4 linked regions of the Mytilus edulis genome follow. The protein of the gene in region 4 purifies or fractionates together with the protein of the main gene of each other region. This does not show direct contact. Links are inferred from orthologs where the notes say so. Each region holds a gene or a part of one and is shown on either strand. Other genes may lie near its edges.

Region 1 (8,186 bases), on a different chromosome or scaffold from region 4:
TTAATAATGTAGCTTTCTGGGTATCCAATTTTTAACGTGTTCCGAAATGTAGTTTCGTCACAAGAATTTTTCAAAGTTGTGTCATTTTGTCTATAATTATGAATGTCGGTACATTCGTATGATCGAGCACACCGACAAGTATATCGTTGGGACAACTCGATCTAATGTAATCAATATACGTGAAAGATTACCTAATGTGAAGTTTATCAAAATCATCATAACATAATTGATCAACACATTATGTTTGAACAACATGAGTCCTACAATATAAGATTTAAAGGTGCATATCATTTACATTCAACGTTTTTATTGGATTTTTTTTTACTACAATGTAACCTCGAGGTTCAACGTTGATAGTAAAAAAAAATCCCAGAAATTTTTTGAATGATATTGTAAATGATATGAACCTTCGAATTCTTATAACATCGGAATAGAAAATATATGATCCGAATTAACCATGCACGTGTGCTACAGAAGATTATGAACTTTTATGAGGTTTTTCTTAAACAATATTATGATCCCAAATTTGATGAATTTTGTTGGCAATACTTTAATATACACACTACATATAGCAAAGTATATATTAAATCTCAATGTATTATAATTAGGAAAAATGTTTGACTCGGTAAAAAAAAATCTTCCCCCTCCCCCCGTATTGCATGTAATGGTTTAAACCTAAAGGATTCGCACTAACTGCCTAAAAGGGGTCCGCTCCAGTCTTGAATCAGTGATTTTGTTTATCATAAACAAAATATTGTCTCACACTGAAAGGGTCAGCCGGGCAACTTGCACAGCCCGGATTGTCAAAACAACTAAGATTTACAAAAACGATTACAAACAAAAACCATCAGTTGGACAATCTTACTGGAATCTGATTATCTCTACTGATAAATAATGCAACACTAATGACACATTTAAGTTTTGGAATGATTTTATTCACAAAGAATGTTTCTCATTGGTATACATTTCTATGCTCTAGTCTTTTCAGTGTTTATATTGGAAATTAAAAATTGCTGCATGAAAGACACTACATATAGCTCCACATTCCTATGCATATGATTTTATATGTACGAGAATCATTCCATAAAATATCCGTTTGATATCCTTTCAATGCATGACACTGTCTAGTGGTTTTTCTGCCACAATTACAAGGAAAACCTGGCTAAACTTGTGCTAAATCAAACACTTGAATCTTACATCGCTATTGATGTTAAGCAATTATTTAAAGGCCATCCGGAACTGTTGGGTTTTATGACAGTCTTCCTTCCATACACACCATCGCTGCAAAATAATTTGAACATTCAATTAGATGATTATAATATTATTTGGCAATCCAAAGAGAACCTGAAAACATCAGACCACAATAAACAGAGACCCCAAAAAAAAAAAGCCAATTTTACTTTACAATGAAATTGAAAAAGTAGTTAGTTACATGTCAAATCATCTTTTGGCTGTCGACAAAAAATAAATAAAATCTAAATTTCGTAGCATTTTACCCCCCCCCCCTTTTTTTTAACTGAATTTGTTCAAGGTATTAGATGAATTTCTAGCAAGTTTCTACGATATTCTTTATCATTTGACAAAATACTATGCATCTGAATTAAATTGTTTACTATTTGAAAAAGTGCGCCTTCTTCTACTTTAATTTACTTCCCTTTATTTCACATAGCAACAAATATTAAAAACTGCCACATTTGACTGCATATCAATTTTTTTTCCCAAAAAAAATATATGTCAAGCAGCATAATTAACTTTACAAATTGGGAGAAAATCAAGATGTTCCGACTATAGGTTAGTATTAAAAAAAAATAATGAAAGGTTGGCATGATTCCATGTTTGAACCCTGACGACACTTAAAATCGAAAATTCACTTATTTACCTATCATATGAAGATACGATGATGTGATAAACTTAACAATTAATAATTTACCTGGTGCATTATCATATTCACATTACGTTGACACGTCTCAGTTCGTCTGTGTTAGCTCCAAGCTCGTAAACAATGTACACCATTTTCCGCTGTTCTTTACCGATTACCTCTAGTCAGAAGAGCCCACTGTTTACAGGGGCGATAATATTTTGTCACCGGTTCACGCACTGGGTTGAAGGAAGGTGAAATCAGGTAATCTATAGTGTATGAAGACTTATTTTCTAAATTCTCTTCGTTCAAACGAACATAAATTATTTATGTTCTAGACTATATAATTTCTATATATCTCGGCCCAGTCTTTTTCTTATCTCATTCATATATAAATAACTAAAACACTAGTTTTAGAACTTGTCAGGCACGATGACCATTCTCTTTTATCTAATACCAAATCATTACAATACATGTTTATCAAATGAACAACAAATTACAAATGTTTGTAATTTTGCAAATACAGTCCACATCACAGAATATATATACGTCCTCTGTTTAAATAAACTTAAAAAGGTTATCTCAACAATCTACAAAAAACAAACAAAATTTGTTACAAAAAGTACATTTAATACTGTTTTCGAATCTATATGTGCTTAAGTTTAACTAACAAAAACTACGTGTGTACATGCGAATGGTCAACGCCCTTATCGATAATTTCAATTCGAGTCCACCGTATTTAAATACACTCGGGTTCATAAAACCTGTTACAATTCTATTGTTATATTAATAGAATTATCATACGATAAAATTCTTCCGCCACGTACATACATATATTGATTTAATAAAACCCTTATGTAATCTGTTGTAAAATATTACAGCATTATTATATACTCTAGCATTGTACCTATATATGTTTTATTACAGGGGTACCTGAGGTCACTCAATCCCTAAAAAACGAATATAACCAATTTTACTCAAATTAACTTAAAAAAATTACATAAACAACATGAACTATGCAATGTTCATCATGTCCATGAAGTCCTACATTTAAAATGAAGAAATTAGTTTATTACAGCGTAATTTTATACCCTAGCATTGTATCTCTTATTCTTTCATTACAGGTGGTACCTTAGTTCACCCAAAAAATAAAACCCGAATATAACCCATTTAACTCAAAATTAACTCAGTTCACCTTAAAAATTACATTACACAAACGTTACAATACAACATCTATGAAGTCTTATATTTTTAAATGAAGAAATTAATAATTATATACCCTAGCATTGTATCTATTACTATTTCATTACGTGGATACCTGAGATAACCCCCCCCCCCCCCCCACCCACCCCAAAAAAAAACACCTAAGAAATGTAACCAATCTAACTCTAGTTATCTTATCAAATATATGACATACGCTATGCATTGTCCACGACGTCCTACATTCAGAATGAAGAAATTAGTTTATTGCAGCATAATAATATATCATAGCATAGTATTTACTATTCTTTGATTACAGGGGTTACCTGAGCCCCCCCCCAAAAAAAAAACAAACCACAAAATACAACCAATTCGTCTCCAATGAAAAGCAAAATTATATCCGGGTGAAATTTGATCCTGAGGAAAAAATGTCACAGTAGTTGTTGTTATTTTTTTATCCGGAGGAAAATATTTCCCTGGGATATTTTTCCTTTGCCGTTAAATTCTATCTGGGTAGTTAACTTATTGAATAGTTATTAGAAAAAACTTACCCTTTACAAATACCATGAAATAATAAAATGATTTGAATTAAACCTATATTGTAAAAAAAAATGTATTATAATGGGAATTCTTTCACAAATTATCATTGAAAAAAATTCCTGAAAAAATTCAAGTAAATATCGTTCTTTTAAAAAGAAAATTATCATTAAACATAAGAAAGAAAACCAGAAATAATTTCGTAATTGTGAAATAATATCATGATTAAATAAGATAAGTGAAATACATGTAAAAGTGAGTTGTTTTCAGATCTCAGTACAAATATAAATTGAAAAGTAAAGGTAGAAATATAGTTGCAATTCTACTGTTAACAGTAATGGAAGAATTTGATTATGATAATATTATTAACTATAAAAACAGTTTTATCTGGGAACAAAGATGTTGTTGTTGATTATATGGAAATCAGATGAATCATAGCATAACAATATATTGGAACAAAAGCAATTTTAAAAGCTAGATAGTATTTACCTGTGAAATGTTATCTGTCTTATTAAAAATTCATGTTGTAAGTCATCTTTTGATATAACTGAATATATAAAAAATAAGATTCAAGGAAAAATTTCACTATGAAATAGATTCAGGAATATATTATATTAATATCTTTAAAATATAAATTGCTCATAATTACCTCCCTTTGATAAATTATGAAAATTTGTTCTACCTTTGTGAAACATTTTATAATTTAAGTCAGGTATATATTAATTGCGATTAACTTGCATACTAGTTAATGGGACTATATTTCACAAGGTTCTGTGAAATATGATACGGCAAATATATACGGGTACATACTATCCGCATAACACAGATAGATTTTCACTCCTCTGGAAAAATCTACCTGTGAAATACCATGCCTGGAAAAAAATTACTATGACAAATTATCCTCAGGATAAAATATCACAGAGGAAGAAATAAACCGTTACACAAACACATAACATAAACAATACAACGTCTATGACGTGCTACATTGAAGATGAAGAAATTATTTTCAAAATTACATCATCATTATATTATCAACAATATATCTATTTTTTGTTGGTATTAAGTCACATTACAATGTGGTATTGAGATTAATCAATAAAGGGAACTATATTTTCGTGCGAAATAATCGATGACCAATTCCCCCGGTTACCTAAGGGCACAGTTACTTCAGGGCATATATCAGTGGACCTTTCTTCCACCTACACATGGTATATTGCCGGCACTCGGTCATGATAATTTCAAATAAAAAAATCGATTTTTAAGGTTTTAAATTTTATAACAAACAAACAACTGGAACTGCACACCTGAAACCTGTGCACATGAATAAAACTGAAAATTGGGCACCAGTTGGTAGACGTTGCAGTACATGTTACTGTGAACCTTTTTATAGTAATTTGATATTTCTTTGATGATTCGCTGCAATAACAATCTATCCGGAGATAGACCACTGAGTTATCTCCACTTGCTTTTTGACAGTGGGGGGAAGTGGATATCAGTAAACAATTTCCCCTGTAAAACAGTAATAACGGTGCAGTAATAATAAGTCTAGTAAGATCAGTCAAATATCAGAATTGTTTATCAGGATCCGCACATTAGTTAGCAAAAACTGTTACGAGTATTCTATAATTTATCTCAAAATACAGGCTATTTTAGGGATACAAAAATGTAAACAGTTGAACTGTTAAGGTTCATGTGGACCCTATGACTAAAATGGCCGTATTTTCACCTCAAAATTTACTCTGAATACAGACAAACCTGCGCATCTGTAAAAAAAATTCCAGGCATATCATGCCCTAGATAAATAAATTTCAAATATGTTTTATGTTTTAGAAAAATAAAAACTTACCAGGATTTTGCCGTTCACTTTTTTTCATTCCTCCAGAAGTTGCCAAAAAAAACTAAGTTGGTAAACAGGTTTGAGAACTTCCCCACAGGTAATAATTGGCCGTTTCAGAATCTAAAGAATCATGGGTAATTTCATTGCTCGTACCCCAAAATGAAAATAACGTCACGTCATTGGTTGAATTTCCATTGTTTATGACATATATATATTTAACCAATCACGACGTTTTGGTGTACACTTTTGGAAATATTACTTAGGATGCATTAGATTCTGAAACGGCGAATTGAAGTGAGCTGTATTGCTTGACATGGACATGAGATGGACAATAGATACCTAAAAATAATTGGTCATTTAAACTGTGTACCTGAGTGGACCATATCAAGATAAACTCAACTGTTTGTTAATTTTATCATCTGCAGGGACGAAAAAAAGTGTACGGCAAAATCCAGTTAAGTTATAAATTTTCTAATTCATACAATGCATTTGAATTCTATTTATCTAGGGCATGCACATTGTATGCCTTAAAACTTTTTCGGATGCACAGGTTTGCCTGTACTCCGAGTAAATTTTGAGGTGAAAATACAGCCATATTAGCCATAGGGTCCACATGAACCTTAAATGTATGTATATACTCGTGTATTGTATTTTCGACCTACTAACATATTTTTCTGAATTTCCCTTTTATATGTTTGAACATACACATGCCTAATATTTTGAGAGTCACCAGTACACTTGTATCTAAAATACACAATGAAATACATTTCGATCTTTAATTTATTTTTTATTTGAATTCATCGGATCGATGGCACCTTTGTTGGCAAAAACAAGCATCTTGTGTTTTCGACCTATCTAAGAAACAGGTCTAAAGTCGGAAATGACATGTCGTACAAATCCGAAATTGATAGAGGTGATCAAACTTATGACTAAATGAATAGAATGGTTACATATACATGTACAACTATAAGATATAAAATATTATTTTGATATTTTTTTATACCCCCGCTTTAAAAAAGGGGGGGTATACTGTTTTACCTCTGTCTGTCAGTCCGTCCATCCATCAGTCCGTCCGTCCGTCCATCAGTCCGTCCGTCCGTCAGTCAGTCCGTCCCATGAAACTTTCGTCACATTTTTCTCAGGAACTACACATCCACCCTTTCTGTAATTTGCTATCAACATTTATATATGTCAGCCATACCGTGTGATGCATTTTCAGATTCATCACTTGACAACTTCCTGTTTACCGAACACTTGTCTGATTTTACACATGATAGCCAAGTTGAAAATTTTCGTCACATTTTTCTCAGGAGCTACAATACAAGGATTTCTGAAATTTGGTTTCAGGATTTTTATAAGTCAGCTATACCGTGTGATGCGTTTTCAGATTCATCACTCGACAACTTCCTGTTTACCGAACACTTGCATATTTTTACACTATTAATATTATCCACTTGCGGCGGGGGTATCATCAGTGAGCAGTAGCTCGCAGTTTCACTTGTTTGGACAAGTTGTACACATTTTAAAAGGAGACACATTGGAAGCCTTGTATGGTCTTGTATATATTATTCATGTTTTTGTTAAATACTTTCGTTAAATTTAAGTTAGTGCATTGTGAAGTGAGGTTGGTGAGTATTGTCTGTAATTTCCCATGACAGACTGATTTTTCTGTAAATAAAAATTAACTGATATTTTATTTTTTCGGTAAAAATCAGTAAGGAGCATGCATTTCTGTATGCAAATTACCTGTAAGTACATTATATTACAACTAACCATAGGACAGTCATGTGACTTAATGACCTTGAAGTTAACTTTGCATGCAAAAATACCTCTGCCATATTTTTTAGAAAATTTGTTTATTTTAGATCGTTTCTTTGGGAAGGTAAAACTAGTATAGTTGAAGCGTACGAAAATGTGATATCAAATAAAAAATCATGAATATTTAATTTTTATAACTTTATTTGGAAAATCTTTACCACACTTGGTATCATTTGCTATTGTTACTAAGTATAGCAGCCGAATATGACGTCACACAGGCATGCGCGGCATACAGGAAGTGAAAGTAAAATTAGGTTGAAAACGTAAGACGGTCGAAAACACAATACATATACTTCATAATTCAAGATCTAAGTAATATTTACTCGTATAAGTAAAGGAGGAGGGCAGCAAGGATCTCCATGACCTCTTTTATGATGGGGCACCGAAATCTTCCAATACACTTTCGCACCCTACACGTTCGTGTCCTAGTACATTCACTGACCCCTAGACGGTCGCACCCAATTTTTGAGTTCCAGCTGAATAATAAGAATTTTTTTTATATATACATGTATGTATTATTTACCATGTTTACCAAAACAAAAAATATTTTCCTAAATAATAATTGGTGACTTACTACATGATTTTTTTTTTTATTAATTTGTTTGTTAATTAATTATCAAATTTTAGGTATCAATGTATGATAACAGCAAATTGGTATTTGCACACAGCTAAATTTGGTATTATCTTTTGTGTGTTTGATAACCATGATGGATTGTTGTTTTAACTTGCTTTGATGTAAATGATTATGTGATTTATGCAACACCAAAAAGTTGCCAGAATGTCACTTTATTTTGAACCAATGAAAAATTATATATTTGTAGCAAAATATACGGTACCTCGAATGACCAAAATAACACTGTTAATATCCGAATAACCCTTGTAATGACCGACTTTTAAACATTAATTATTAAACAATAGTATATTATCCATGTATTT
Region 2 (7,908 bases), about 38 Mb from region 4:
ACAATTAAAATAATTAATTAAACGATTATTTGTTTATTGTTGGCCACTGGGTTTTATTTTAATGAATTGTGTGATTGTAAATTTCAAGAAATAATTTTTGAAATACTGAATTGAAAGAAAAAATATGTAACGGGGTCTGAGAGATACAATTTTATTTTGTTCCAACAGATGCGCATTAAGTGTTCACATCCCAAAATGACAGGCCTTTGTTAGTTTTTCCTCATTCCGATGTTGCTGTCCTGTGTAAACTGTATTTATAAGATTACAGTATCGGCAATCTATTTTTACAAGCTTCCGGAACCATATTTTCTGTACAGTCCAATTATATTCTAAAGCTGGTTACACTTGGAACATATAGGAAAAGTTGTGTGCCAAAATAACCAAGTTCCAGGACAATTGTATTATTCTTCTTTGTTAATTCCATTCCAAAAATCATTTTCTGCCTTATTTTCAAAGACTGCTTGTACTATGTATTTTCAACAAATTACATCCCGTATTATTTTCCAAAAGAATTTTATTTTTTTCTATTTTGCAAGAACCCTTTTTTTTTGGCAACCAATTTAACACAAAATTTACGAAATTGCACAAATAGTGTCACAAAAATTTCCCATATTTACACAAATTAAAAATAACCTGCGTTTCTATATAGATAAGTCATATAGGAAGATGTGGTGTGAGTGCCAATGATACAACTCTCCATCCAAGTAACAATTTAAAAAGTAAACCGTTTGGATTTACAGCCAGGGGCGTAGAAGCCTGCTGCCGTACCAATAATGTTTGTTGGTACGGCATGCCATACCTATAAGTTTTTATAATTTATTGAAGAAAAAAAAAGTTTTTCACGGGATTAAAGAAAACAAGGTTTTTACGGGAAAAAACAAAGACAGAAAATCCCATTTATAAGCTTAAGTCATAGGCAATATAAACGGTATATACATTTATTAATACTGGTTCAATAGAAATAAAGGAGTGTGGTAGACTAGTAGCCAATTATTGAGACGAGTTGAACTCTTAATCCAGGTTTCATAATGTGTTAAAAGTAAACAATTACTTTAATTCAAATTGAGTACGGCATTCATCAAGCTAAAAAAGAAAGTGGGCACCGAAATGAAAAAAATAAATTATCGAATCTTTTGTAAATACATTTTTTATGTCTAGATGATGCAACCTTAGCCTACCAATTACGCTATTTTAGTGTAGCTAAACTTTATGTGAACTTTTTTAAAACTAATTACGATTTATTTTAGAAATGATGGTGAATTTGGGATGTCCCTGTCAGAATCGCCTGAAAATGTTCTATTTTCCTTTGTTTATACTTTGTCACAAACATTGTCAGTATTCACCTCAAAAGCTACTTATTAAGAAGGGTTAGTTACGATACTGTTGTCAGTTCACTAAAGATTGCTTATTTTGGCTTTAATATTGATTCACTTGGACAGGGTTCTTTCTTCTCATATATTTTATGATGGTATACTACTAAACACCTAACGGTAGGGATTGTGCTTGATATTCATATGATGAAGACGATATCCTTTATTAGTTTAATACAGGTCCCGAGCTCGCATGTCAGTACGTAACTGCTAGAAGTCTGTGTTAATTTATGTATCATTGTCAATTTGTTTAGTTTCTTTGTGACCTATTCTGACATCGGACTCGGACTTTTCTTCAACTGAGTTTTACTGTGCGTAGTGTTGTGTGTTTGTTTTTTCTACATTGACTAGAGGTATAGGGGGATATTGAGATCTCAAAAACATGTTTAACTAGCCACAATTTTGCGCCTGTCTCAAGTCGGGAGCCTCTGGCCTTTGTTAGTCTTGTATGACTTTTAGTTTTACTCTTTTTCTTGGGAGATATTGAGGTCCCCTTAATAAAATCATCATAAGGACCTCATCATAAGGGCCATAACTTATATATAACATAAACTTCTACAATTGACCATCAGGGTTTCCCCTGACTCAATTATTTTTTTCGCCACCTCTTTCGCCAAAACAAAATATTTTTCGCCACTTTATTATTTTTTTCGCCAAATAACATAACTATATTTTTCGTTTAAAATTTACATTTTTTTCTACACCCCCCCCCCCCTCCCCTTTCCCTTAAATAAGATGATTTTGCCCATTGTGTCTATGATTTTTAATTTAAAAGGGAAAACTATTCATTGTATTTTAAACAACTTTTCTAATTGATTGGGCCACTATACTTTTAATAATAAAGAAGATATACGTCCTGGAATATAACAAAATGAATGGACATGTTTTGATTATATAATACCAGTATAGTTCGAAGGGAAAGTTTCTTTAAAAGAAAAATACTGATGTGTCCTTTTGTACTAAGAAGGTTTTTTTACAACAAAACAAAAGCTTTTATCACATGAAATTGATCCCTCGTTTCATGTGTAGGCATTACATTGAAGGGCTACTCTCATTCGAGCCAACCTTTTGGATAGATTTCTTCATAACGACAGTTTTCTTTTCTTGACCATCGTAAATAAAAAAATGTTGAGACGTAAAACTAGGCTTGAAACACGTGTGTCACTCAAACGACTTTAAAAACGTCTTCCTTATCAGTTACCGATATTTAAGTCAAAGGATAATTAAAGTTTTAAATCCGAGATTTTCCTTGCTTTTGGACATTTTTCGTCACAACAACAGCTTTCTTTTCTAAACTCTCTTTAAAAGCGGAGGAGACGTCAAAAGTTTGCTTTAAACACGTGCGTCGCAAAGTGGTAAATAAATTCTGTATGTGACATTTAGCAGAAGCCATTTAACCATATCATTTTGTCAAACAATTCAATCAACACCTTTATTAATATAGTCCTTGTTGTCGATAGCTATAAAATGCAATCAGCTGATTATTGATTTTCTGTCCAAACCTTAATGAGGTCAAGGTGAATTCCGAGTATTGTCTGATCGGGTAAAGTCCGAGAAACTCGAAAAAAGTAAATAAACAAGATGGAGGAAAATAAATCGTTCTATATATTTCTTTCGCCAAATTCTTTCGCGAATGACGAATTTTTATCGCCACAATTATTATTTTTTCGCAAATTGCGAAAATGGCGACCGCCAGCGGAAACCCTGTTGACCATATGTCTTTGACGAAAGATGTGTACAGAAGTCATCACTAGAAACCTCTCAATACATGTCAATAAGAAATTCTAGCTTTGGATCCATCCAATCACTTTATAATTAGAAATTTAATGGAGTAGAATACGGCATCAAAAATGTTTAACCCTTACTCTTTATTTATATACAAGCCGCACGTCAAGAACTATTAAATTAGTGCAGTTTACACTGATTTTATGTTTTTGAGGGGAAAAAGAGGTCCTAAAAAAAATTGCCCCTCTACGCTCGGCAACGAAATCTATTATACGTACCACCATGAAAAATCCCCTGTATGCCAAGACACATTGAATGGCATCCAACACAAAATTGGAAGTATAAATTTAAGCCAAGATATTCCACTTGCTGTATCCATTTGGATTGTTGACTTTTTGACACATTTCATGTTTCATTTTTTTTCTTTTTCTATATTTTGAATTTGACTTTCAAAAAAGTGAGATAACTCAAATTGTTGTTCAAAAAATGATAAGCGAAATTTAAGTGTCAGAATGCCGGATTTTGCACCATTTATCCCAAAATCAGTCTCTGGCCCTTTAGGGGCCACCAACCCCTGCCGAATATACGCCTCACTAAGGCAGGATGAGTCGCCTCGCGACCCATAACATTTCTTGTCGTACCAATATTAATTTGAGTGCTAGTCGCCTCTGATTTTTATACTTTAAAATTAATCGGGGAAACGGCGCGTATCAGAGTTAAGCTGGAGGCACACATTCACGATTTTTACTGCCGTCCTTAACAGGACTATTTCCAATTAAAACTTGTCAAATATTGAAAATATGGGAGGTTGCATTGGAATGTCCCTCCTAGATGGGAATTTGCATGGGTCTGATCACGTTGCAGGCATATTGCATCCTGTTTGTCTATTAATGTAACTCTTTTAAGTGCATCTACTCCTGAACAACTAGATGGATATAGAACATGTAGAAGAAATATTTACATGAGAAAGTTCGAAATGTCAGAAACATATAAATATTAAATTTAGTATACATGTCTCTGGAAATGTTAAAGGGGAGATACTCGTTACTTTTATAGTATGGCATTACTAATCTTCTGAGCGAAACTCTTCCTGAATGTTTTATGGATATTAATGAAATGTATGTCGGAAAAAGTAAGGGAGAGAGAAAAGGGAGGGAGACGGGAGAAGGAGGGAGGGAGAAAGGAGAAGGAGGGCTGGAGAAGGGAGAAGAGGGGCGGGAGCAGGGAGAAACCTATCCCCCTGTCCACCTCCTCTAATTAATCAAACAATTTTTCCCCAAAAAAGGGATACAGTGACACCATAGAGTCCCCCTTTTAATCTGCCCCACGTTCACATTCCATGATGACCAAGCCGTTTGTAAACATGATGTGACCATGTTGTAGACTTCATTCCAGTTTGATAAATCATAAATGTATTGCCGTTTATAGTCATGTTATATACTGACGTTTTTACCGCCTTCTCGTCACTGAGTATACAACTCCTTTTAAATATTTTTTCAATATTACGCCCCCCCCCCCTTCCCCCTTTCACCCTTAAGTATCACTGAATTGGCTTTAATATATGCCTCCCCCCCCCCCAACCCCCAACCCCAAATACCAACAAACGAAATACTTATCGAGTTGAAATATCAGTAAGCAACGAGAAATCTATTTTTAGCAAGTTTATTCACGACAACTTAATCAACGTAATTGCCCGAAGAAACACGAGAGTTTCTTTATCATCTAAGCGTTTGATCGTTACCTGGTCAATGTAGATATTGTCACAGGTAAAACAAGTTTGTACATAATCAAGATATCTTGATAATATTCGGTGGGTGGAATAGGAGGTCATCTTTTAAAAGACAATATAACACCATCAAAACAAATGGATTAGACAAATAACTTGGAATATGTAAACCCCTGAAGAATAACCTTTTGACTCAAAAGAAGTTCTAGTCAGAAAAATGACGGCAAATGAACTTTATGTGAAGGTAAATACGCCCATTAAAACAGGATATATACTACTGTTGTGTTTATATATAACCGTCTGACAGATTGTGGACAAAAATATTATTGAAACTACTTGGGATTTGATTTTAAAGAATCTGGTCACTAAACCATTCGATAAATAATAAAAATTCTTAGAAACGTTTATTCTGTTGAAGCTTGACAGTAACACATGTAAGGATGTATATATACACAAACACAAATAAATTTGAATCAGAATGTCATATTTTTGCATAAAAACTCAAACAAGCCTATGATACATGTACAATATTCCTTATCAATATATGAGGGTATGAATGCTATTTACCATTAGGCCTGAATCAATAATTTTTTGTTACGAATGAAGATGGGGGATAGGACCTTTATCGAGACTCCGAGATCAGGTGTTTTTAGATATCATGACTGACCCTTTCCTACTCCCCCTAATGTAAAAATGGTAAAAATTGGTAATGATTCATCAGAGGTCTTAAAAATAATTATATGTAACAGTATTTTTTTGGAAAGAATTTCATGACATCAAAATTGTTCGATTTTTTTTTTATTCTTAAAGAAAATGTGTATATTTTATTGTCAAGTTTTAACATCATTTTGCAAGATTTTTTGGCGTTATTCGTGATGAAAGTTGACCGAACACAACCGTCATATATATCTTGCTTTTGAGTGACTTCTGCACATCAAAGATTACTGTGCTTAGCTACGTGTATAGTTGAGGTCAGGTCATAGACAGGCCTCATGTAACTACATGTAATATTATCCTACATTTGAACCTCTAGGATGCTAGGGCAGAGACCAACCTTTTTCTGTCTTCTGAATAAAGTCATCATTTAATCAGGATTAAATTTTTTATTTACGCCATATATGCGCTTTCATCTACAAAAAACTTATTGAGTCATCGATGAGTTTTTTGTAGATGAAAGCGCATATGGCGTAAATAAAAAAATTGTAAACCATTTGGCAGCTGCCAAGGTGTTAAAAACAATCAATTTCATCATCTAATTAATGCATACAATTAACCTACAAAATGTACGTGTAAGGTTGTGACAACATTGCTGTGATAACAGCCTACCACAACACCCATAACTAGTGTTTTAATTTGTAGCATCCACTATATACTACCCATAGATAGAAATATCATGTCATGTCCAATTCTCTCATAATTTTTTTCTGGAATAGGCCTTATTATTATATATATAGTTAAAAAGATTGAAAGAAATATTTCCCCACACAGAAATAAAATTACCCGTAGTAATCAAATCCATGAAAGATGAAGCTATAAGGTCATGAAGGTATCTGAACAATTAATTAAACCCCCTTCAAAATTTAATTGTTCCAAAAATAAACTCAATCAGAAATCTATTGCAGATTTCCACTTACACAAATAAACAAAAGCTATTGAATCCTGAGTCTGCTGCTGTTAACATTAGTATCTAGTGCATCACACATAAATAAACAAATCCTACTGAATTTTGTATTTGCTGCTGTTAACAGAAGTATCTGGTACATCATGACTAATAAACAAAATTACAAATTTGACATTTTGGATAATTATTTAACGATTATTTAAATACTGGGCTATTATTAAATATAGTTGTGTGTATTAACTATGAATCGGCTAAAGAATTGTGACAGTATTTACCGGAGATTTAATTTTCAAAGTTTTCTGCAAGATTCTGATGTCCAGGAGCTGTTTACAAAGGTCTGTAACATTGGGGACTTTGGGGTCTACTGTCTTTCAAACTTGGGAACACAGGGAATGATTATATTATTAAGAATTTTACATCTTTTAGAGGATAGTTTGAAATATCTGTTGATCCATTTTTTTTCACAAGGAAATGCGTGTACCAAGTCAGGAATTATTGAGGAATATTTAACAGTTGTTTTCCATTCATTTGATGTCATGGATGTGTTTGGGATTTTGATTAAGCATTTTAAAATGGACTATTTTGTTTTTGAATTTCCCTTTTTTTGAAGTACAGTATTTTTGTTATTATTACTTTTAACACTAAAACTGATTGTGATATTTAATGAAAGTGATATATTGAAAAAGGATACTGTGGACAGTTGTGGATTAGCATTACTACCTACCATGGCAACAGCTCATGTGGATTTTTTTAATATCAAACTGTCCACCATGGGAAAGGACACAAAAGAGGGCACAAACTCTACAAAATATCATTTATTTTTTCCTTTATATTGTCAACTTTTTTCTTTTATCAAGATGCTGTATTGAACGGATTCGATGGTAACGTACATGTACTGTCGGATAGTATAAATGCTTTCACCACTGTCCCAGGTTAGGGCGAGGGTAAGGAACCAGCTAATACCGGTATGTTTAATCCCGCAACATTCTATATATGCTTGTCCTAAGTCTGGAGCCTGTAATTGAAAAGTTGTTGATAGTTGCTGTTGAATACGTAAACATGTGTGTGTTTTGTTATATACATTGTATTAAAAAACAACATTTAAATCTTTTAATGTTTATATTTGTTGTTTTTTTTCAGGGTGCCAGGATATGGATTGCCGACCCAGAAGCTATTTGGCGAGGAGCTGAACTATTGGAAGATTACAAAGGACCAGGACAGATTAAAGTTCGGTATGAAGATGGCGAGGTGAGATAAGTTTAGATATTGTTATGTTAGGCGTTTTTGATTTAATTTACTATTCAATCATGCATGGTTATCGTGAGTATAAACATAATCTTGGACAAGTAAAGAGGGGGACAGGACCTTTTTTCAGACTTCGGGCTCAGGTGTTTTTAAGCTCTGGATTTTGGTATTCAGGAATTCTTTTTTCGAATTTCGAGATGTCGTAATTTAACTTTCTTCAA
Region 3 (8,009 bases), on a different chromosome or scaffold from region 4:
TCTAGTAAATTACAACTGTCTAGTTGTCTAGTGTAAGTTTAACTTAATTGTGAAGAAAACGGAGAAATGTATATAATAGGTAAAGACATGTGATTGTTGTTAAAGACCGTTTATGCATAGCAATATAATATTTTCCCACAGAAAGTAACCAAAAGTTAGCGTGCAATAAATCTTTAAAATTCATGACGTCATCAACGACACAATCTCAGTTTAAACCAATTTTTACTTTCAAATATATATTGCCATACAATAAAACTCAATTATAAAAGGGTTATTGCATGACTATTGGGGAATATTGTCCCTCGTAGAACATATATTGCAAGCTCCAGCAATATAAAATTCTACTCGGGACAATATTCCCCAATATTCATGCAATAACCCTATATTATCAGATATAAATAAGTTATAGACATATTTCGCGAGAATTGCACATATCTACATGTATATATGATCTATCTATACCACATCTGTTCGGATATTGTATTTTCTGCCAGATAACTATGACTTTGAACTTCTGAAACCAGCAAATATCATGAATGGCAATTTAAAATAAATGTTTTAACCACAAAAAGTAGCTTAATTTTTAATTTAAAATATTGAGTATAACCTTTTTACTCAAGAAATTGCAGCAGAGCATGTATTTTGTAAAATTACTAGTACACAAATGTGTGTGCATATGTAGAACTAGTAGTGTATGACTTTTTGGCGACTACATGGTCATTTAAACTCCAGAAAGCAGCACTAGTTTACCAGTTTTTGAAAACCTATAGGTCCATGAAATGTAAAACATATGCTCAATATTGTGTTTTCTTTATAAAAAAATACTTGATTTGCAATCAACACCCAATTTCCAAGATGACAAAGACAAATAAGCATAAGGCAATCGACTCGTTGTTGGTACATGGAACATATAAATGGTTCAATAAACTTGTGCATAATTAAAACAAATGCTGGTCGAAAGTTCAAACGTGAGAACACGCAAAGAAACAAAATACGCAAATAAGAGGCAACAGTAAAATTGAGAATGGAAACGGAGAATGTGTCACAAAGCAAAACGCACAGTAAACCTCGGTTTTTTAGAAGTCGAGTTCGATGTTAGGATATGTAACAGAAGAAACTAGCCAAAGGTATAATAATCAACATTGATTAACAAACGACTACTAGCAGTTTCTGAAATGCCAGCTATATAGACCTCAATTTAACTGATGGAAAGATTATGTCTGAATCATATGAAAATAAAGCACAATCCCTCCCATTAGGTGCTTAGTATCATACCATTATAAGCTATACGAGAAGAACATATATACAACCCGTATTATATTGAAAACTAGTTTTGGAATGAACTGCGTGACAGTGCTTATATTCGATGCAAACAATGTTTTTATTGATGTTTAATTCCCATAAAATCATAACATAAGAAGATACAAATCAAAGGAAACAAACTAAGGGAATTACACGAACTCCAAAATGAGTGAGACAGTATGCATCAGAAAGGTATATTCCTATGTCTTCTGGGTACACACTGAAATTAGAAAGTCTGCTTTATATATTGAATTTCAAGATAAACCACGGCCACACTCTGGTACATTAATCATCAACCAAATACATAGGCTGCACCATTACAAATGATCTATAGATTGGAGTGAACACAAACAAACAGCATGACATGAAAAGGTAGCTGAAGCCTCGGATTCTTACATCAAAACCTCCAAATCAGCTCAAAACCCACCAAAGAGCATGTCTATCCGATAAACCGCAAATACACCAAGACAGTATTGGAAACCGGCAATGCAAACTTAAAGACGAGCTGCACGATAGAAGTTTGAAGTTTATTAGGATATATGATATGAAAAACTATCTGAGTGTAATATGGTTTATTGGGTGACAGCGTATCACCAATATATCTCAGTCAAAAAAAAAAATAGAAAGAACTTTGCATGATGCTTTTTATAGTTTGTCTTTTCAAAAACGTTCATCAGAACACGAAAAACTATTTCAAACTAAAAATTATTACTTAGGTTTACTTAGGTTCTTTTACTTATACAGGGACTAAATTTCCTCTTCATCAGTCTCTTTAACTAAATCTTCTCCACTTCCGGTGACTGTTGCTCTATAGTGGCTTCGTACATCATTGTTTGGTTCATCCAGTATTTGTTTAGTCTATTCTTAAATGTATCTGTGGTTGGTGATGACACTATAATATCGGGTAGTGCATTCCATGTTCTCACCCGGCACTCGTAGAGCAAAGGCATTTCTCATTAATTCTGTTCTGGCTCTCTGTGGAAATATTTTCAGACTGTTGCCCCTTATCCCTGTGCTTGTAGTCATATCCTTCCATGATTTAACAATTTGTGCCGCCTCTCTTTCATAGTTTCCGTTCAGTAGTTTGTGTATTTCAATCCTGTCACCTCGGACCCTTCTATTTTCGAGATGGTAGTTTTAATTTTTGCAGTCTTTCTGAGTATGTTCAGGTAGTTTCATGGTATACCGCCATCTTGGATTGCACTATCGCAGTACACAATCAGTCTAAATATTTGCCCAAATCTGCAAATTTGTATACAAATGTGCAATTTTATTGTTTAAGACTGTTCATTAATATGAAAAAAACTTGCTGGTTTATTGCATTATTTAAATTATTTAAACAAGTATCAAATAGTTGTGTTGGTTTTTAGAATCATTTTTTTTTAACTAAGCTATTTAAGGGGAGATAACACTTTTAGTAAAAAAAAATATACTGGACTGATCGGGAAATTTTTAATTTAGAAAACAAGTTAGCTGATACCATTTTTTTCTTTCTTTTTTTCCTTTAAAAAACATTATAAAACCTATCTTCTCGAAATTTATTTCAAATTCTATATCATAGATTTCTTTTTAGGCACAAAATGTTTTTTTCATGATCATTCTAAGCAAATTTAGGCAATTTTCAAAGACTCATAGCATGAAAAATAAAACGGTGACCCATAATTTTTATTATATTTTTAAAAAGAGCACAGTAAAATCTTTATTTTGGCAAAGTATAATAAAATTCTATCTCAGGAAACATATACCGATGATCTACCTTAAATTCTTTAATCCTGGTAGTTGTTTAGTTGCCCGACGCTGCACATTCTCAATCATGTCATTATATTCTATTTTATATGGATGCCATACTGAGCTTGCATACTCTAAATGTGTTCTTACGGGTGTGTTTAACACCACCAAAAACTGGGGGTGACCTCAGGTGCTTTAGAAGGGTAAGCAAATCATGCTCCACATGTGGCACCCGTGTTGTTGCTCATGTTATCACAAATCCGGTAAATAATCTAATTCGGTAAGTCACATTCATGAAAGGGAAGGGGATTGTAGTTACGACGTAAGGAACATATCCGATATACCATCTGTGAAACGGTTATTCCATAACGGTCAACCAACTCGTGATGACGTCCGTAAAATTTACGAAGCGGGATGATTTCAACTTCACCATTTTGAACTCTTGGTTTAATAGCTTCCTTGTGAGCAGCAACCCCGGTCTATCAAGAAAATCATGATAGGAAAAAGGTATCTGTATCTAGATATTTGAAAGTCCTTATCAGTCCTTCTTATGCTGGTAAAATTAATTTATATTTCAAAATTTGGAAAAAAACCAAAAGAGGCGGATTTTTGTGATTGTTTTTGTTTGGTTATATAGAGAACCACAGGCTGAAGCGCGAAGGGAGTTGGCCCCCTCTTAGGCAGTCAGTGGGCCCCTACTTATGAAAATTTCTGGATCCACCACTGATCTGTATCTAAATGTTGGAAAGTCTCAGTCCATCTTATATGTTGGTAATATGGGGACGAAGTCCCCAATAACAGTAGAAAATTCAATAAAAAAAAAAATTCGGGAAAATTTCCCGAATTTTTCATTGTACTAATGAACTCAAAATCGTTCAATTTTTTTTATGTCATGTTTTGAAATCCCGGACCTGCGCAGAAATGTACAATATACTTCCCTTTTCCGGTCTCGTTTGTATGAAACTTTGAGTAAAATATATATTTATCAGTCTAGTTTAAAATAGGAAGGAACGCGCAATACTTATTTCATTTTTGATAATTCCTTGATATGAAAAAACGTTACCTAATGATAGCGTTTCTTGTTTACATTGCATATGACGTCATAATTTAAATAACGTCACAACTAAAATCCCTAACAACAGAACCAAAATCGGAAACGTTACTGTATTTCCGTGTCTTTTTTTTTTTTTACAAATAATTGAGTTACAAAATAATAATTCATACAGACTTCGTCCCCATTTACAGGTAATGCCTGCCTCATATTATTAATTTAAATTCAAGTTAAAATTTGGCAAAAACAAAGGTCTCTGTATCTAAATATTGGAAATTCCTTCTCAGTCCTTCTTATGTTGGTAATAATAATTCATATTTCAATATTTGAAAACAGAAATTGAATGACAATACTAGTAATTAAAGACATGATAATATACTTGACGTCTGTTTAATAATTTACAAAACTCGCCACATTAAATAATTACCGGAATATAACCGACAATTGATCTAACTTTTAGTATTTTCATAAAAACGTAAAACAGATTTGGATTGTATTAAATATTTTTGTTTTTTTAATTTTCATTAATATATTTTTAAATTAAAATGATAATTTGAACGATAAAAAAATAAATTGGATAACAATTTTTAAATTCAGAATGTTTCTAAAATTGTTTAGAAAATCTCGGATGTTTTGATGTTTACGTCAACGAAGACGGCCATTTTGATGGCCAGACTTTGCAAGTGACTGAGGTTTCTTAGGCTAAACAAACTTATTGGCCTTTTATATGCAGTAAAATAGATACAATGGCTTCTCAGAGAGGTGGAGGCTTAGTCCAACGACGCGGTAATAATGTAAGGACAGATGAACCAAATTCTAGTGAGCAGTCGGAAGATCTTTCTGGATATCCTGATGAAGAAGAGGAACACGACTCAAAAGAAACTCGTTTAACTTTAATGGAAGAAATCTTACTGTTGGGATTGAAAGACAGAGAGGTTATACATTAGAATGAATGTGTTTTAAGAATTGCTATTTCCACATTTGTCGACAGACATAACTTGTTCCCCTATACAGTTATGCCAACTTTTCATGAAGCAAATACGTGAGATTTGGCCAAAATTGAAAAGATTAAAGAGAAAAAACAATAGTTTAAAGAAAAACGCCGCCTTAAAAGCATGAAGTCTCATGCTAAATGCGTGAGACTTGGCACTACTGCCTATATGATGGTCACAGGCACTAGGTTCTATCCATGGGAACACCCACTATCAACGTATATTTACGTTTATAGATGCGTGAGACTTGGCAGCCCTGCCTATATGAGGGTCACAGGCACTTGTTTCTATCAATGTATATTTACGTTTATAGAAGTGGGTCTTCTCATGGATAGAAAAAACTGCCTGTGATGAGGGTTGTAAATGGAGGCAACCTCATGACGAATCACAGTTAAAATTCATTAATGATGTAAATGTCAATATTTTGTGCATAACTATAAGATGTACACTTTCTTTTAGACGATAAAAAAAATTCCAAAAATTACTGTAATGATATTAATGTTTTTGAGACCTCTGCGAATCAAGTAAAATTTTAACCAATTTGACACCAACAGTTGGGTTGCAGAAACTAACCGTTTGACGCATAAACAAAAGGCATGGCATCACTATCCTTCTCCATATGTAGAGCATAAAACCCTAGGTAAAACAAAATATTACACAAGATACTGATTGAAGTTGCATGTCGAAAAAATACACCTTATCGTTATAAGACATCTCAAAAGTTCCTGTAAAATTTCCTTAGGCTTATAATAATAATAATCTTTATTTCAAGAGGGTATGCTCAATTAGTACAAACACTATTCTCCCTTGAGGCCCTCACACTCCACTCACAATGCAATTCACACAATTTCTTCATAACAAAGATAAACATAAGCAAACATAATCAAAATTGATACATAGTCATTTAAATAATTCCTGGATTTTCAAGTAAAAACTTAAAGCAGTTTTTTTTAAAAGTATGTTTGACATGTGTCTTAGTGCTTCTGGTAGTTTATTCCATAAAGTTGGGCCCGAATATGAAAAAGCTCTAGCTTCTAAATGTGTTTGTTCTTGCCTTTGGTATATTAAGTAATTGGGTAGTATTTGATCTAAGTAGCATTCCATTATTATTTGTAACATAGGAGATTTTGTTAGACAAATATTCTGGGACAGATCCATATAAACATCTATGAACATACATGTATAAGGCCTTGTGGTAAGTTAAACGATCAGTAAATCGAAGCCATGATAACTTTTTAAACATTGTATTAGATGGGGTATCATAAGGAAGTTCAAGAATAATTCTAGCTGCTCGTTTTTCAAGTTTATCTAATCTATTTGTATTTTGGTCTGACACTGGTGTTTTCCCAAATTGTACAACAGTAATCCAAAATAGGGAGAATATAACCATTAAAGTATAACTTTCGTGTTTCTAGGGGGAGGGATTTCTTTATCCTAGACAAAAGATTTAGCCTAGTACTGATTTTTGTGCACAAAGTGTCAAGGCTTGTATGCATACTGTACGAAATTAGATATCCTTGAACATGCAAGTTTACCTCAATTCACGAAAATTTGTACTTGCAAAAATAAATGAACGTATAGTATACAATGGTATAATGGTTCTTCTTTAACAAATTTTGACTTGAATGGAGTTGTCTCAATGCGTCATTGGCACTCATACCACATCTTCTAAATTTTATTTCAGTCATGAAGCTGATTCAGCTGTGTTTTCCCAGGTCAACATGACTGTGCCGTCCCGCAGCCCCTTTTAAAATAATTTCATTGATCATGCAGAGCCTTAATTGAAAAAGAAAGATGGCCGCCAAAATGAAAATCAGTATGACACAAAAATATGCAAATATTGATTGACTCCACAGGGCTCACACTACTTCAGAATTATAGGGAGAAGTGACTTCTCTTTTTGAAACTGATAGGGAGAAGTTGTGAGATTTGAAAGAGAAGTGCTCATTCGCGCGGTGCGTTACAATGTTTGGATTTTACAATAGTATAAAGGGCCATATGCAAATAATGTTCTTTTTATATTGTTCGATTCATATCTGAGTAAAAAAAAATACAATTAAAGTAACATTTGAAATTAAAAGTTGTTTAAGTTTTACTAAGGTTCTTGTGACAAACTTATTCCAACTAAATATCTAGCACTAAAAAAAAAAATTATTTTAAAAAATGTTAAGAAATTATAATATATCATTATTACAATTTAATTAAAAATTATCTTGTGTATGAAATTCAGTGTTTCTCATAAAAAAATATAAAAGTTATTAAGCTGGGCCATAATATATTGAAATTAGTATAATAGTCTCAGAGTTAAGCAACTTTAATCAATAGTTTGAAACAATCCATAAAATATATAGGGAATTATATACACCAATCAATTAGATGTAACCAAAAGTCTCTTAATGTGTGTGGAATGCGTAATTTTTCCCTTTGGGATCAATATTCTTCTGTCAGCTGTTCCGTCCGTGCGTCCGTAGTAATTATTGTAAAAGTACGGATTTCGGTCATAGCTGGTCCGGTTCAGATCCGTAGTTTAGAAATCGGTCAATGGCGGATGAATGCAAGAAAATTTACAAAAATAAACAATGTTTGACAAGTTATTTGGAAAGGAACATGACGTTTTTAATGCAATAAATGGATTAAACATTTACTGGAGGCAACTTTTATCACGTTTAAATGAAGTAACAAACTTATTTTGCCGCCGAAATTTAGGTTGATGTACGTTTTCGAGTAACAAGCACCGGAACTTGCGAAAATGCATGAAGTGATAAAAAGTTGTATTTTTATCAAATAACCTACTACACACTGCGAAGACAATGCTTCAATCTCTTTTCTAAAGATAATGAATCGTTTATGTCTGAATTTCTTTAATTATCAATAAAAAATTGATGTTTCATCAACTTGGTAAAAATTGAAAATGTCCGATGACGGAAGCGACTGAA
Region 4 (8,330 bases):
CCCCTCTTAGGTCAGTCAGTGGGCCCCCTCTTATGAAAATTTCTGGATCTGCCACTGAAAGTCCCAAGATCAAATTATATGAATTAGAAAATAATTTTAAATATGCAAGTAGCATTTATCATATTTAATGTTGAAAATGGATTAAGTAAATTAACAAAAAAACACCTCAAAATTGGCTTAATTTGACAAATGAAGTTTATAGGTATATAAACTAAGTCATTCAAATTTAAAACACTTATTGCCATCATGAAACTAAATATTTTGAACACTGTTAAACAATCAAAGTTCAATAACTCTTGAAAAATTAATCTGAAAAGTTTCAAGTTGTAATTATGCCCCACCTACAATAGTAGAGGGGCATTATGTTTTCTGGTCTGTGCGTCCGTTCGTCCGTCCGTCTGTCCGTTCGTTCGTCCGTCTGTTCGTTCGTCCGTCTGTCCCGCTTCAGGTTAAAGTTTTTGGTCAAGGTAGTTTTTGATGAAGTTGAAGTCCAATCGACTTCAAACTTAGTATACATGTTCCCTATGATATGATCTTTTTAATTTTAATGCCAAATTAGAGGGTTTACCCCAATGTCACGGTCCACTGAACATAGAAAATGATAGTGCGAGTGGGGCATTCGTGTACTGGGGACACATTCTTGTTTTTTATATGTTATTGATTTAGGACAAAAGTAATTACAGCAATTGCAATTCATGTACCAAAAATCATGCTTAAAGATATCAAAATGTTAAAAAATTCCATAACTCTAGGACATTCTGAAAATAGTCAAAGTTCAAATTTAAAAGACAGATTGTCTTATAAAAGAAACAAACTTCATTTTTTTTAAATACCAATCAAAGCAAACTTAAGAGATATTATGAAGAAAATAGGCAGTGGTACAGCAAAATATATTATATATGTCTATTACTCTTTTTTGACATCTGTATAATACTCAACCAAAAAAAAACATATATAGAACAAATAAATTTGCATTATTAAACTTAAAATTAGACAGATGTTAACGCCACTCAAACAAAACATTATTTTGTTGTTGGAAATATGTGACATAAAAAATAAAACATAAGTTATATGTTAAGGTGGTACCCAACATCTTCACTAAAATTTATTTGGCTCGTTTATTTTCCTAAAATTTTGACGAAGTATTTACTTTGAACGTTTGACAAAAATATAAAAATTTCAAAAAATTTGAACCAAACAATTTTTAGAAAAATTGCTCTGGTTATATAGAAGTTTGACAAACAATAGTTTTGATAATTGAGTAGCTTAATATTCACAAGGCAACGTAATTAAAACATTTAGCTGACTTTACAGAGTTATCTCCCTGTAGTGTTAGGTACCACCTTAATGCATTAGAACACATAAATACTTGACATTTCATAATTGGTTGAACATCTTACGGATTTATATAAAACTTCACCAGGAATTATTTTCATTATATATGAGCTGCAGCGAATAGATATCAACCCTATGTAAATATCAATACATCTTTTATAAACCTATTTGAGGTTGATAAATCTCCAAGCAAAGTCTGTAGCTGTTTAAAAATTGAGTTGATTGACTGATTGGTTGGTGTTTGCTTTATGCCACATCAGCACAAAAAAGATATGTCAAGGCAAAAAAAATAGTTGATATAAGCACCCTACAACACAGCACAAAATTCATCTTTATTATATATTTGAATGTTATAAATTTGTTCAAAGGCTTATACATGTAAATTTATACATGCACTTGCATAAGGTCAATTTCTTTCCATCGCAGCTCAAATATTTATACCACATTGCCAAATAAATGACGATCAACAAACATTAAACCAGTCTCACTTAAAACAGTCAGTCTGTAAATAAATAAAAAATAATAAAAAATCTAAAGTAATCTAACATTAAACATCCTCCTTGATTTCATCAAATAAAAAGTTATTTTGTTTATATGATGCATTCTCCGGTAAATCTAACTTGTCTTTAGCCTGTTGTATATCATCATTTATGGCATCTATTAATTCATCTGTAAAATAAAAACATTCATTTAGAACAATAAAAACTTGATTCTAAGTCTTAATCGAAAAGTTAAAAAAAATGCATGCTTGGTTTTAACTGTATCTTCTAAAAAATAATGTCCACAAATAATACAGCAAAGTCACAAAAAGTGATGGTAACAGGATTCTTTTTCATAATTTTAGTGTTCAAGTGTAATTATATAAAAATACTTCAAACAAGGGAGATAATTTAATAAGAAAAATAGCAACTATTTTCACACTATGCATTAACTGTAACAAAAAAAAAAACTAACATGTTTATTATATTGAGGTATCATTTAATCAAATATATTTTTTTTTATGTGTAATACAACAGAGATAGTGATGTAAGAGTATAATTCATCTGTGTTTACAAAAATCTTGGATATTTATAAGTCTCCGGTAGGTTTCCCTTGAAAAGTCATTTTATTTCCTATAGCAGTAACATTGTATAATGTTTGATAACATGTAAGGCTAATTACACAAACAGAATTTTTCTTATCAGGAACTCATTTTGATTCTGTTAGAAAGTTGTCTCATTAAACCAGAACTCCTTATTCTTATACATGACCTATAATTGTAAACTTCTACGTCATTTTGTCTTCTTATTTTTATATATTATATGTTTTGAGAGAAGAAATTCATTAACAGACATCACGATTACAAACAATACATTGACAGGTTGCTTTAATCTGCTTTCTTATCAATAAAAACTTACCTAAAGAGGAGAAATCTCTCATTGGTCGTATATATCCAAGCATAATTACTTTTAATGTTGATCCATAAAAATCTTCTTTAAATGTGTGTATAACATGTGTTTCCTGAAAACATAGAACAACATTTAAATGTATTAATAACATATGGGTTTTCTGGATAGAACAACATTTAAATGTATGTATAACATGTGTTTCCTGAAAACATTAGAGAACAACACTTAAATGTATGTATATCATGTGCATGATGTGTTTCCTGAAAACATTAGAGAACAACACTTAAATGTATGTATACCATGTGCATGATGTGTTTCCTGAAAACATTAGAGAACAACACTTAAATGTATGTATACCATGTGTTTCCTGAAAACATTAGAGAACAACACTTAAATGCATGTGATCCTTTTTCAGCTGATTTTAATAGTTTGTTCTGTAATACAGTAACTAATATTGTGCTATAACATAACTCTCTCTCACAGGTGAACATTAAACACTCACAAACATGATCAACCGAACAACATTCCGTATGTGCCTGTTCCAGGAACCTAAAATTAAGTGATTGTCATTTGTTGTCTGATGCTGTATTATTGTTTTTTGTTCATTGTTTTAAAAAGTTTTGTTTTCTTGTTTTAGCTGACTAAGGTGTGTCGATTTTGCTCATTGACGAAGGCTGTACAGTGACCTAAAGTTATTAATTATGTCTTTGGTGGAGACTTATCTTATTGACAATCAGTTTGTCATTTTATTATTATTATTACCATAGATTTCTTTGTATTGTGATAGTAAGGGTTCCATCCAATACTGAGGACCATTTTCAATACTTCACCATTATCCACATTGGCCCAGCCATAGTACACACCACCTGGAAGATCTTTGGGTAAGTTTTCTACTACCTTTTCTGGGAAATTAGCTGAAATGTGAAACAGTACTTTAGTCAGTCTAGAATTACATATAACAGTAGCAAAGACAGAAGATTTTTTATAAATTAATGATTAATTTAATGGTGTTGTTTGGTGATTAATTTAATGGTGTTGTTTGGTGATTACTTTAATGTTGTTTGGTGATTAATTTAATGGTGTTGTTTGGTGATTAATTTAATGGTGTTGTTTGGAGTTTAATTTAATGGTGTTGTTTGGAGATTAATTTAATGGTGTTGGTTGGTGATTAATTTAATGGTGTTGTTTGGAGATTAATTTAATGGTGTTGTTTGGAGATTAATTTAATGGTGTTGTTGTTTGGTGATTAATTTAATGGTGTTGTTTGGTGATTAATTTAATGGTGTTGTTTGGTGATTAATTTAATGGTGTTTGGTGATTAATTTAATGGTGTTGTTTGGTGATAAATTTAATGGTGTTGTTTGGTGATTAATTTAATGGTGTTTGGTGATTAATTTAATGGTGTTGTTTGGATGATGTCTTGTTAACATGTTTTTCTTTTTTTTGGTCATTTCACCAAAACGGATGCAATAACGGTATTTTATTTTTGTCGGTTAGTTTTCGTCTTTATGAGTTTTTGAAAATTGTGAAAGAGAGTTCAATATGTGTATACATAAAGAGGACAAAAGACAGATGACCTATAAACATGATAAATATATATATATATTTGTTAATTTCTATGTCATTTGGTCTCTGATGGAAAATTGTCTCATCAGCAATTTTAAACTCATCTTTTTATTTCTGTAGTTGGCAATATAGAATGCGATAAAACAATGTATGACCAAGGTCTTAAATATAGCAAGGACGTATACGTATAACTAATATATATGTCCTTGTTTATAGGACTACACACTGTCACAGGTTCCCGTAAAATTTTGACCTCCATCATAATCCAAAATATCTGACGTCACAAGGAAAAAGTGAATGTTGTAGGATGTCAATAGTTTAACAGGTACAGATTCTCAGGTCAGCCGGGAATAGCTATTAGGTATATAGCTGCACACCCTGATTCGAAGCAAAAAATGAAGACACTCTCAGAAGATATCATGATTATTGGAAAATTTTGTGACATACATATATTACACAAGCAAGTATTCATGGTATTACACCAGACACAGATAATTTTATGAAGAACCTGGTCACAGCTGACACTCCTGTTTTTTTTATCATTTTTCCCTATAAGTTAGATATAAGTGTGTGTAAAATTAACTGTATTCAATACCAGTGGGTATTCCTAGTTCTTTGCTGCCCCGTCCGAATCCTTTAACAACTTTTCCTTCTGCAAAATGTGGTAGAATTTGCTCCATTTTTATATAACCTTAAAATGTAAGAATCGTCATATGTTCTCGTTAATGAACTTCCGGTAAATTTTTCGTATTTTGAAATTTTCCCCGGCTGTTTTTTGCATTTCCTCTTGCGCGGGTGACGTCATTTGGTTGCGCAGAACAAGGGGCGTCAAAATCGCCATATTGGCTGCTACAGTTGTTGACAGAAATAGGGTCACCTGACAAATCTGTTGGAATCACAAGCATCAGAAGTTGAAAGTATTTAGTTATCAACAGGTCACAAAGTCAACTGGTTCAAGACTTTGAAAATCGACTTAATTGTCTTAATTTGAGGAAGGGGTCAGAAGAATCTTCATCTGAATTCCTGCTTCCGCCAACTTCCGGAAAGAAATGGGTAGTAAAGATGACGAGTACGATTACTTATTTAAAGGTACAGCCCTTCTATTTGTGTGATAAAGTCTTATATTAATTCTCATATTTACAGTTTACATCACCATGAATGACTTGAAGCTTTGTTCCGACCCGATGTGATGTTTTGTTTTGTTGTCATTAGTACAGGAAATGAAATGTCAAAAACTATTTTTGACAGCTTAAACATTTTCTCTGTAGATGTTTATCCGCTCTTTTACTTCAGAGAGTTCCCACGTTTGTCCATTGATTTTACATTTGTAATGTATATGCTTCACATAGACGGTACACCCATTAAAGATTAAAAAAAATGAAGTCGCATTATTGTCAACACTTTGACGCAAGAGTTCAAACTATACACCTTATCGCTATTTGTATGCCATAACTTGGTGTCACAGGTTCTGGTTAAATTTTGTCGTCATCAAACAAAATATCTGTTGCCACAATGGAAAAGTGATGTGGCCGGGTCAGTTCAATGATTTCTCTTGCAACTGTAAAGTAATACCTATGATCATGACGGCATTGACAGGTTTATGGTAGACAAAGCTAAAAAGTGTATTGGCACCAATCTTCATTGTCTACATGTGGTTAGTAAATGGTAAACTGAACTTTTGACTAACTTACTTCCTGTACCAGATGAGTCATTTTGTGTTTTGTAAACAAAGTGACATGGCCAACGATCAGGTCTAAAAATAAAATTAAATATAAAAAATGAATCATAAATGGCTATATATATATATTGATTTAAACAAATTTAACAGTATAAAATATTTAACTTATTGAGTTAGTGTGGTCTTGTCAGCTTTACAAATTCTTGCTCACTAAAATTCAATTTTTGACAAAATGGCTTTGCACAAAAGAGAAAAGGATAAGAAAACAGAATGTCGTTACTGTCAGAGTAAAATAAAAAGCAATGCTTATACTTATTATCTGGATGATGAATTTGATTATATAACAAAAGGTAAGCTAATTATTTCAATGACAAAAATACAAGACCAGGCTCTTTAAAGAAGTTCTTATATATTACCAAGGTTCAAAATTTAATACTGGGTTCACCTATAGCTACCTCAAAAATTTGGGGAAAAGACGGGAACATTTAGAGATTTTTAAATTTGGTATGGTCAGCTTTACATCATAGAACCTTCCAAGAGGTAAAATGTAATTTAAAAAATAAACTACTTTAATTACTTAAAAATATATATCATGTATATAGTCACTACATGAATGACATAAATGTATTATAAGAACCTTGTCAAAAATAAAAAAAATATTTTCACAATTCTGAATTATAATAGCCCGGTCTGATAATTTGAGTCTAATTTGATGGAAAATGAACAAATATATACATGTATATGACTTTTTAGTAGGAGGGAGATTGATATGCATATTAAACAAAATTAAAAGAAACATAAATATTGTTGAACAATAGATTCCTTTTTAAATGTTTTACTTAATCTCTATTTGTATTACTTAATATATAGACAAGTAAGAAGATTGTCTGTTTTCAGGATATTAGGATTAAGAACTATACATACATTGTATATACATGTAGTACAGTTCATTGACTTCAAACAAGTCCTGTTGTTACATTAAACCTTTTTTTAACATACAAAAAAATTTAATAAATTACATACATGTAGCGTGTGTTAGGCTAACTTTTAGAAAAAGCCCAAACCGCATACTCATCTATTAAAGACCCTGAAATGACAATATAAAACAATTCAAACAAGAAAACTAATGGCTTATTTAAGTGCAAAACAATAAACGAAAAACAAATTTGCAACACTATGTCTGCTGTGTGAATAATTAAGAGAGTTTCCTAAATTCTAATTTTATATTAATGTATATTTTTGTATTGCAGTTGTGTTGATTGGTGATTCTGGTGTAGGAAAGAGTAATCTGTTGTCAAGATTCACAAGAAATGAATTTAACTTGGAAAGTAAAAGTACTATTGGTGTGGAATTTGCAACAAGGTAATACCAAGCTTGATTTATATAAAAAAAAAAAAAGGGGGAAACAATTTTAGTACATCAGTAATTCAGTTTTATCCCCCAAAAAAAGGGAATGGGGGAATGTGCCAACCTCTGAAATCTGACTTTCATGTTTTTCTTACCAAATAACAAATTACAGAATTGAAAAGAAGGATATTGACAAAACTATTACAAAACCATGTGAAAGAAGAACGGGTGATACCAAACAGTCAAACTCATAAATCTAAAATAAACTGACATAGCTATGGCTAAAAATGAAAAAGACAAACAGAGAAACAATAGAACACATGACACAACATAGAAAACTTCAGAATAAACAATATGAACCCCACCAAAAACTAGGGGTGATCTCAGGTGCACCTGAAGGGTAAGCAAATCCTGCTCCACATGTAGCACCCTTCGTGTTGCTTATGTGATAACAAATCCGGTAAATAGTCTGAATTCGGTAGGTTACATACATGAAAGGGAAAGGGATTGTAGTTATGACATAAGGAACATATCCGATATCATTTGTGAAAAATTTATTCTATAACGGTCAGCCAACTTGTGATGGCGTCCATAAAATTTACGAAGGGATGATTTCAACTTCACCATTTGGAGCAGCAACCCTCTATCAAGAAAATCATGATAGGAAATGCAAGCACAGGAATATCGTATCAATTGGGAGATATATACCCAGTATGCAGGTGCTGCTGGAATGTTGCTACTTAGAAAAGGAAAGTTCACAATTTGAAAGCTGAAATCATCTCTTTTGTCGTAAAGTTTTGTTATCAACCGACCCTCATTGTCAATTTCTAGATGTAAGTCAAAATATGAGGCCTAAAGTTGAGCCAAAGACAATGTATAAAGTTCCCATTTAGGTCATGTAAAGGGAAAGCAATGAAAATCATGTGCACTGTTATTGTCAGAACATATGGAGATTTGGTATGATCGAAAATGAGACAACTACAAATGTATCCATCTGATCAGAGACGTACATATGT

Evidence for each region.
Region 1: the proteins of ras-related protein Rab-11A (region 4) and exocyst complex component 2-like purify together in Drosophila melanogaster (affinity purification with western blotting, with the first as the bait; 3 studies listed by BioGRID). This does not show direct contact. The link is inferred for Mytilus edulis from reciprocal best matches to the Drosophila melanogaster genes Rab11 and Sec5.
Region 2: the proteins of ras-related protein Rab-11A (region 4) and unconventional myosin-Va-like purify together in Drosophila melanogaster (affinity purification with western blotting; 4 studies listed by BioGRID, with this or other methods). This does not show direct contact. The link is inferred for Mytilus edulis from reciprocal best matches to the Drosophila melanogaster genes Rab11 and didum.
Region 3: the proteins of ras-related protein Rab-11A (region 4) and Golgi phosphoprotein 3 homolog sauron-like purify together in Drosophila melanogaster (affinity purification with western blotting; 3 studies listed by BioGRID, with this or other methods). This does not show direct contact. The link is inferred for Mytilus edulis from reciprocal best matches to the Drosophila melanogaster genes Rab11 and sau.

The regions. Positions count from the first base shown.
Region 1 is NC_092348.1:25,984,312-25,992,497, forward strand, and holds the start of exocyst complex component 2-like, read left to right. Parts: upstream 1-5,036; 5' UTR 5,037-5,143; exon of another isoform or gene 5,144-5,190; intron 5,191-8,186. UniProt on the Drosophila melanogaster protein: Component of the exocyst complex involved in the docking of exocytic vesicles with fusion sites on the plasma membrane.
Region 2 is NC_092354.1:38,486,384-38,494,291, forward strand, and holds the start of unconventional myosin-Va-like, read left to right. Parts: upstream 1-4,842; 5' UTR 4,843-5,038; coding exon 5,039-5,065; intron 5,066-6,645; exon of another isoform or gene 6,646-6,684; coding exon of another isoform or gene 6,685-6,777; intron 6,778-7,582; coding exon 7,583-7,690; intron 7,691-7,908.
Region 3 is NC_092347.1:27,683,877-27,691,885, forward strand, and holds the start of Golgi phosphoprotein 3 homolog sauron-like, read left to right. Parts: upstream 1-4,707; 5' UTR 4,708-4,827; coding exon 4,828-5,016; intron 5,017-8,009. UniProt on the Drosophila melanogaster protein: Phosphatidylinositol-4-phosphate-binding protein that links Golgi membranes to the cytoskeleton and may participate in the tensile force required for vesicle budding from the Golgi.
Region 4 is NC_092354.1:552,781-561,110, reverse strand, and holds the start of ras-related protein Rab-11A, read left to right. Parts: upstream 1-5,066; 5' UTR 5,067-5,338; coding exon 5,339-5,378; intron 5,379-7,217; coding exon 7,218-7,329; intron 7,330-8,330. Other genes in the region: riboflavin kinase-like, read right to left, coding at 1,883-2,004, 2,733-2,835, 3,486-3,637, 4,885-4,969.